Linked DNA regions of Notamacropus eugenii. The protein of the gene in region 1 interacts with the protein of each later gene in a pairwise test. Links are inferred from orthologs where the notes say so. Each region holds a gene or a part of one and is shown in the gene's direction. Other genes may lie near its edges.

The links.
Region 2: the proteins of MBIP (region 1) and BFSP2 interact in binary tests that used the Homo sapiens proteins (3 or more experiments, as listed by UniProt). The two-hybrid records come from large-scale screens. The link is inferred for Notamacropus eugenii from reciprocal best matches to the Homo sapiens genes MBIP and BFSP2.

Annotation. Positions count from the first base shown.
Region 1 is NC_092872.1:329,005,567-329,009,318, reverse strand, and holds the start of MBIP (MAP3K12-binding inhibitory protein 1), read left to right. Parts: upstream 1-853; 5' UTR 854-924; coding exon 925-1,050; intron 1,051-3,752. UniProt on the Homo sapiens protein: Inhibits the MAP3K12 activity to induce the activation of the JNK/SAPK pathway. Component of the ATAC complex, a complex with histone acetyltransferase activity on histones H3 and H4.
Region 2 is NC_092874.1:41,694,799-41,698,550, forward strand, and holds the start of BFSP2 (phakinin), read left to right. Parts: upstream 1-1,323; coding exon 1,324-1,782; intron 1,783-3,752.

The DNA of each region.
Region 1 (3,752 bases):
ACTATCCAATATGATTCCTAAATTTTCATTTCTCCAAGCCAGACCATAACCTGGTTATTTTATGGATACTTACAAAAACTGTTCTAATGTTCTGGATTTGCCAGTTTTCATCTCAAGTTTCTCTCACATCCCAAAATAAATGAGTGAATGGAGAAAAGGTACAGAAGCAATCTAGGCCCAAGATGCAAGGTCACTGATTGTGTTAAAAGACGGCAAAACTACCATCCCTTTCCTATATAAATGATACTCAAAATCTGAAAAGGGCAAAATGTGAAAAGTGCCCCATATTCTAACATACTCCCCTCAGGGCAAAATGTGCAGTCCCTGCAAATTACTTGGAGTACACCAGAGCATCTGTGGCCAGAAGAGGATGCCCAGAAGAATTCCAAGGGAAAGTACAAGCTGTTACTCCCCCTGACTCCGTAGCCAATCATCTTCAAGATTCTCCTCCTCTGACCAATCAGGAATTGCTGTCCCTTAAGGAAGAGGCCAGTGCATATGTCGCAGAAAAAGGGAACCGAGTGTATCTCCACCTCCCATCAACAAGTTGCATCACTTGCCACGTAAAAACATGAGCCAATTCAGTCCGAATGTTTTAGTAAACTAAGACAAAAACAATACCCCATAACTTTTAACACGTAAGATACCACAAAAGGTACTACAGTTTAGACTTCTGCCTCTCACAGTCCAAGCACAGAATGACTGCAAGGAAGAAGACTGGGCAGGAGTGGGCTGGAAAAGCTGCTTCTTCCAATCACCTGATTGGTCCTCCTGTTTGCCAGTCAGATGGAAAGGGGTGGAGCCCCAGAACACCGCGCTTAATGTAAGGACCGCTTCTGATGACGTCATTATAACGCGACGCAAACTGAAGCGCGAAAGGGGGCGGGGCTCAACAGGAACCTCCGCAGCAGTTGGGGAGGTGTCATGGCTGCTCCTGTGGGGCTATCGGGGCACCCCCGAGGCGTTGACAAGAACCCGGATCAGAGCTTCAGCTTCTACCGCGAGGTGCTCGTTGGTTTCCTCCACTCCCTTCGCACCCTGACAGGGCAGGTAAATGACGGCGGTCTCTCTCTCTCTCTCTCTCTCTCTCTCTCTCTCTCTCTCTCTTTCTCCCTCTCTCCCTCTCTCCCTCTCTCCCTCTCTCCCTCTCCTCCCCCTCTCCTCTTTCCCTCCCTTCTCTCTTCTCCCTTTCTCCTCTCCTTTAACCAGAAATGGGGGTTGACCGAGGCTCAGAGCTTGGGGGCGCTTTGGGGATTCCCGCCCCAACTACAAGACCATTAGGGTTCCACCGGGACTTCTCTGCTGCTACAAACCTGCTCAGATTTCTCTTAACACTCATTTGAGGGGTGACTTAGGGGGATTCCCCTTTCTTCTCCCCCCACCCCCCCAAAAAAAGAGAAAAAGAAAGGCAGCGAGCGAAGAAGTGGGCAAGAGAACCAGGCCTGGAGAGGAGGAAGGCGGCTAAGCCCCCTCGGTGGGGCCGGCCGGAGCGGGGAGCTCAGGATCGGGCGTCTGAGGTGGAAGAAGCTTCGCTTAAGCCTCTGTGAGGAGAAGGAACCCGGAGGCAGCAGAAGCCTCCTCTCTGGGGAAAGGTTGTTCCCCCGCTATTTTTGTGATTTGATATAATGAATACTACTTTTGTTTACGTTTTTTTTTGCCTAGGGAGTCATACAGCGTTTATTAAAAAAAATAATAACTTATTTACTCATCTTGAGACTAGGATACTTTTGATGCCTCTTGGGTGTAGTTAAGACGAATTGGGTAATGGAAGACCACTTAGTCGCGGTGTTTGGCAATCATTTTTACTTAAAAATGCAGAATTAAAAGCCGGTTATTTATTTACATTTTTAAAACTCATGTTTAAAAGAAAAAAATTAAGCACTTCTTGTAACCATCTGTTCAATTCCTACTAGGAGATCTTGGCGTATTTAAATTATAATTATATGACCTAAATAGAAATTGGACATCAGTCTTTTTTTTTGGTTAGTGACCTTTCATTAGCATAGAAAACATTTTAGCTGTTAAAAACAAATAGAAGTCTCCCAAGTACTGGACCCGATAACAGTTGCCTTAATAATCAGTGTGATAAACTAAGTTCATAAAATAATCCAAGCTTCCGATTTGTGATGGTAGCTTTGTTCTTCTGATTATTTTTGCAAAGTGTGTTTGTGTGGGGTAAGAAAAAAATTCACTTTTCTTTTTATCCATCCAGAGTTTGTGATATTCAGCCAAATTTCGAGCAGTTATTTGTGGAAATCATTAAGCAGCATGCGTAGTCAGACTGTTTTTTTCAAGTACTTGATAATTATACTTTTTAAGTTTTTGAAACGATATGACTTAAAAAAGAATTTTATTTTAAACGTTAACATTTTAGGCCTTAGCCATTCTAACTTCTTTTAAACAAAAGATAAAAACAAAGCAGTTAGAGCGTAATATTGTGAATTAAGATGGGTTATTATAAATATGAAATTACACAAAATTCTGTTATTTGCAAATGAGATAATTTTTTCGTATGATAGGTGGAATTTTAAAAGAAAGTTCATGCAGTAAATTATATGAAAGTTAGTGCAGTGAATTATGTAAAAGTTTTCACATTCCAGAGATATTTTCGAAAGCATATTTCCTGCAGATTATATTTTTATGTGTTTTCCAGAATCTCGGTTCCTGTATTGTCCCTTGAGTAAAATTTACATATTATACGTCACTGTCAAATGTGTAAATATTATTACTTGTATCTGACACGAAGAAGATGATATCAATCAAAAATTAGGTCAGTTAGATGGTTAATCAAAATATACTGACCACATTGATAATTGTCTGTGTTTTTGAGTTATTATTTAGAGATTTGAATAAAAGCAAAAGTACTTATAGTATCACTTTAGGTCATTATTTGCTTTTGCAAGAAGCTAAATCATAAAATTTGCATGGTCATCTTTGCTTAAGGTTAGTGTTTATGATGTTCCTAATTACTGGTATTGTTTGTTAGGGAACACAGTTTTAAATGTGTTAATGTACATGCTAACTCAAGTCGTGAATATTCTTAATTTTTAACTTTATAGTTTGTACCCATTAGCCCTTTGACTATTTTTCGTTTGTTTTGAACTTGAATATTTTAGTGCTTTTATTAATTTCTCTGCAGTGGCAAAAAAAAAGGGGGGGTCCTATCAATGAAAGGCTAATAAAGGTTTTGGAGTCAGTCAATTCTTACATTTTCTATAGTACCAAATGTTTAAATTAATCTTGTTAATTAAGGTTACAGTGAATAGTCATTTTTTTTTAGTTGAAATTAAAATTACCCTTGTATTTGAGTGAAGGATTACATGGGGTTTTTTTAGATTCTTTTTTTAAAAATGAAAACAATTACATTGAATTGAAATCTTAATGCTTTTATAATAAAATTAATATAACCTTCATTCTCTACAAAAATTTATTGTTTGGACTTCATGGATTCATTACCAAGTAAGGTGCTTATATTTACTGTAATCAGATTTTTTGGTAAGATGTACAAATACATCAATTCAGTGAATATATTAAAGGTTTGTTATCTGAAATCTCTTTATATGACATTTTAGAAAATACACATTGAGATTAATTCACACGTCATTGCCTCATATTTCTTTCTATATCTCTGGAATAGACTTTTAAAAGTTAGAACCACAATCTAAATAACTAGTGTCTTTTATATCATGATGTTCTTCCATTTGTAGCAGAACCATTTTGAATTGTTTTGCAGTGGGTTTTTTTTTTTACAT
Region 2 (3,752 bases), on another chromosome or scaffold:
TTCCTCCTCTGCCAAATGATCATCATGTCTGTCCTTCGTTGCCAAAGAAGACCATGCCATCAGAGAAATGATGACATGACTTGCACTTGACTTTGTTTTGAGTGAGGGAGGGCTGTGCAGGTCACCGGCCTCACTTCTCCTCCAGAGCCATCTGAATCCAGTGACCTGATTTTCCTCAGGATGACTGGAGATGGCCCAGGATCTCTAATGGCATGGTCTTCTTTGGCAACAAAGGAACATGTTCCTGCCAAATGAGCTGGAGAAGGAAATGGCAAACCACTCCAAGATCTCTGCCAAGAAAACCCCCAAATAGGGTCACAGAGAGTCAGACATGATTCAAACAACTGAACAACATTGGGTTTGAAGTCAGAAGCCCTGGGTTTGAATTCCAGTTTTTCATATTTACAGTTTTTTGATTTGTAACCTTGACCCACACACAACTACCTTGCTTGTAAAATGAGAATGGTTGGACTGGAAGATCTCTGAGTCTCTTTCTAACTTCCAGTCGTAGGATCATAGATTCAGAGTCATCTAGTTCAGCCTCTTCATTTTACAGATTAGTAAACTGAGGCCTGAGGAGAGGAAGTGATATAGACGAGGTGACATGATCTGGAGGAAACTGCTATGTAGAGTCAGAGGGGCTGGACTCTAACCCCAGCTCTTCCATTTATTACGTCTAGGACACTGAACAAACCACATCAGCTCTTCAGGACTGTTTCCTCAGCTGAAAAAATGAAAGGGTGGGATGGCCTCTCATATCTCTTCCATAGATTTATGACCCAAAGTGTCAGAGGCAGGATTTTGAACTCAGCTCCTCTGACTCCAGAGCTCAGGTAATTGAGACATCCAGATCTGTGAAGCTAGAACCTTGTTTCCCTAGATGTGAAAGGGCTTGGTACCCTCTACAAATGGAAAATAGGCCCATTTTTTTCCATCCAAACTCAAATCCAAGCTGCCCTCTCCCCAAAGCCAGGGGCCAGCTATCTAGAAAAATCAGACATCCCTGAAGTCCTGACATGGCAGAGAATGAGTGAATGGACACAACCCAGTGCCCGGGGAGCGCTTCATTGTCTGGCTATGCAGAGGCCCTAGTCCCAGAAGCATCTCCTTTCAGCTGCCCTGAATGAGGAAGGCCATGGAAGGCCCAGAACAATGGGGCCAGGACCCTGAGCTGACAACTTTCCAGAGGCAACAGGGGCAGAGGGGGTGGAGGCAGAGGGGCAGAAAACAAAGAAACAATGCCCCCTCCAACAAATCATTGCCTCATTCGGGCCAGGGGATGAGAGAAGGGAGAGGCAGTGCCCAACAGGCTCCAGTGCCAACATGCCCTTCCCAAGGCGTCGGTCTTCGTTCTTGGGGTCCCACTCCTCAACCAGCCTTGACAGTCCAGGGGCCTCAGGCTGCCGGGTCAGTGTTATAGGGAACAACCTAGGCAGCCTCCCCAGGCCCCCAGGGGTGTATGTGGGGTCAGTGCCAACTGGAGGAGTGAGCAGCCTGGGCACCCGAGTGTCCCGCCGGGCTCTGGGCATCAGCAGCGTCTTTCTGCAGGGTCTGAGGAGCTCATCCACAGCCCTCGCTCTGAGCCCAGGACTGGAAAAGAACAGAGGCATCTTCTTTGAGTCCCTGAATGGCTGCATGGTAGAGTACATTGAGAAGGTCCGAGCCTTGGAGCAGGTGAACAGGGAGCTAGAGGAACATCTGCGGGTCTACTTAGAGAAGAAAGCCTCCAGCATCAGCAACTGGGGAGCCCTGCGGGAGACCTGGGAGAGCATTTACCATCAGGTGAGTGAGTCAAGCTGGTGGCTCATGAGGTCAGACCCTGCTTCCCTGGGGCCAAAAGGCTTGGGAAAGGAAGCACACCCACCACCAACACAGTCCTTTGGTGTCTCTTACCTAGCACCTCAGGCATTGATACTGGAAGGAAGGGAAAGCTGGAGCCAAGCCATCTGGGAAAAACTGCATCCATATACAAATGAACAAATCTATTTACATATATATATATTTTTTTAAACTATTTATCTGATTTCATACTCTACTGCCCCATCCTCATTCTACATTTACTGAGAAGTAGCCTGTACAGTGGATTGGAAGCTGGTTTCGGAATCAGGCAGGCATGGGTTCAAATCCAACCTCTGACACCTACTATCTATGTGACTCTGGGCAAGTCATAACCTCTGAGAAGTTGCAGAGGAGGTGCTGACCTGGATTGGTAGAGGAGGTTTCTTCCCTGAGAATTCCTTATACCAATAAAGTCATAGGTCTGGTCTCCATCTCCCCTCTTAAAAAAAAGAAGGATTTCCATAAAGTATATGACTATACCTCTGATCTCCTCCACATTGCCCCTACTGTCTCCATCACAACTGTTTTAGAGTATTAGAACAGCATCCTAACTGGTCTCTCCCCTCACCAATCCATCCTTCACCAGTACCCCAAATAATCTTCCTAAGGCACAAGCCTGACTACTGATTCCCTCACTCAGAATAGTTCAGATGCTGAGAATACAAAGACACAGATGAAAGATTTTCTTCCTTCTTCCCTCTGCTGGAGGACAGAGGATGGGCAAAGATTAGCCAATGCAGGGCAGCTTAAGGAGACAAGTGAGGGTCAGGACAGTCATGGGATGTTGAAAGAGCTAGTAGAGTGTTTGCTCACACAGCATTATTCTGAAAAGAAAAAACTGGGCCAGTTGGGAAATAGTGTCAAAGAAGTGAGTAGGAAAGCAGTAGCACACCATCTTTTAAGTCAGCAAGCATAGGTAGCCTTGCCTTAATTTCTTCTAGGATGGCCAGTCAACAGGTAGAAAAGCCCCAAATTCAGCCAATCACTATTCATTTTGGTTTGTACTGCAGTAAGCAGCCAGATTGTTTGATTTTCCTTTCTAAATGGATTATTGTTTCAATCATGTATAGACACAAGCTTGTAATGGGCCCATCAGTCAGCGAGTATTTATCCAGTCTATCGATCCAGCCCTAATCCCCTCTTGAATTCCAGTCGCCCAGGATCAACTGCCTATTGACTGTCTCCTCCTGGATGTCCCGTAGACATCTCTAGCTCAACCCTTCCAAAAAAGGAATTCATTATCTTTGCTCCTAAATTTTTAAGTGCTGTGTAAATGTCAGTTATTATTATTCCTTCTGTCCTTTCTTTCTTGTCCCATTTTGCAGCAGACTAATCTTCCTAATTCTATTTTTCTTAGATTGATATTAAATTCAACAAATTTCCCACCCCCCCTTTTTTGGTTGAGAGCACTTCCATCCTCTTAGCTCTTAAAATTCATCTCCACTGAGTCAGCTTCCACTCCTCCCTCTCCCTCATCCACCATATCCAGTAAGTTGCTTAGTCTTCAGTGCTTCTACTCCCACGCCTCTCTTGTGTCCACCACCTTCTCTCTCCTCATTGGGTCACTATCCCAATTCGGGTCCTTGCCCCTCTCTTGCCTCAATGACCTCCCTTCTTCCTGTTACTCCCCTTTCTGATCTATCCTCTACACCAGAGGTGGCAGACTCAGCCCACACCAACACAGCTCTCCAGTGCAACCTGAACCAGACGAAAATGTAATTGGGAAAAGTTTAACAAAATAAATAAGAATAGAATTCAACATGAATAATATGAATTTGGGGTTTTCTAAGTCAATATGCCAATTACAGAGATCCATTTCTGTCAATGCTCTACACAACTGTCAAAATCATCTCCCTCTGAACCTCTTGGCTCCCTATTGTCTACAGAATAGAATACAAAGTCCTTGGCCTGAT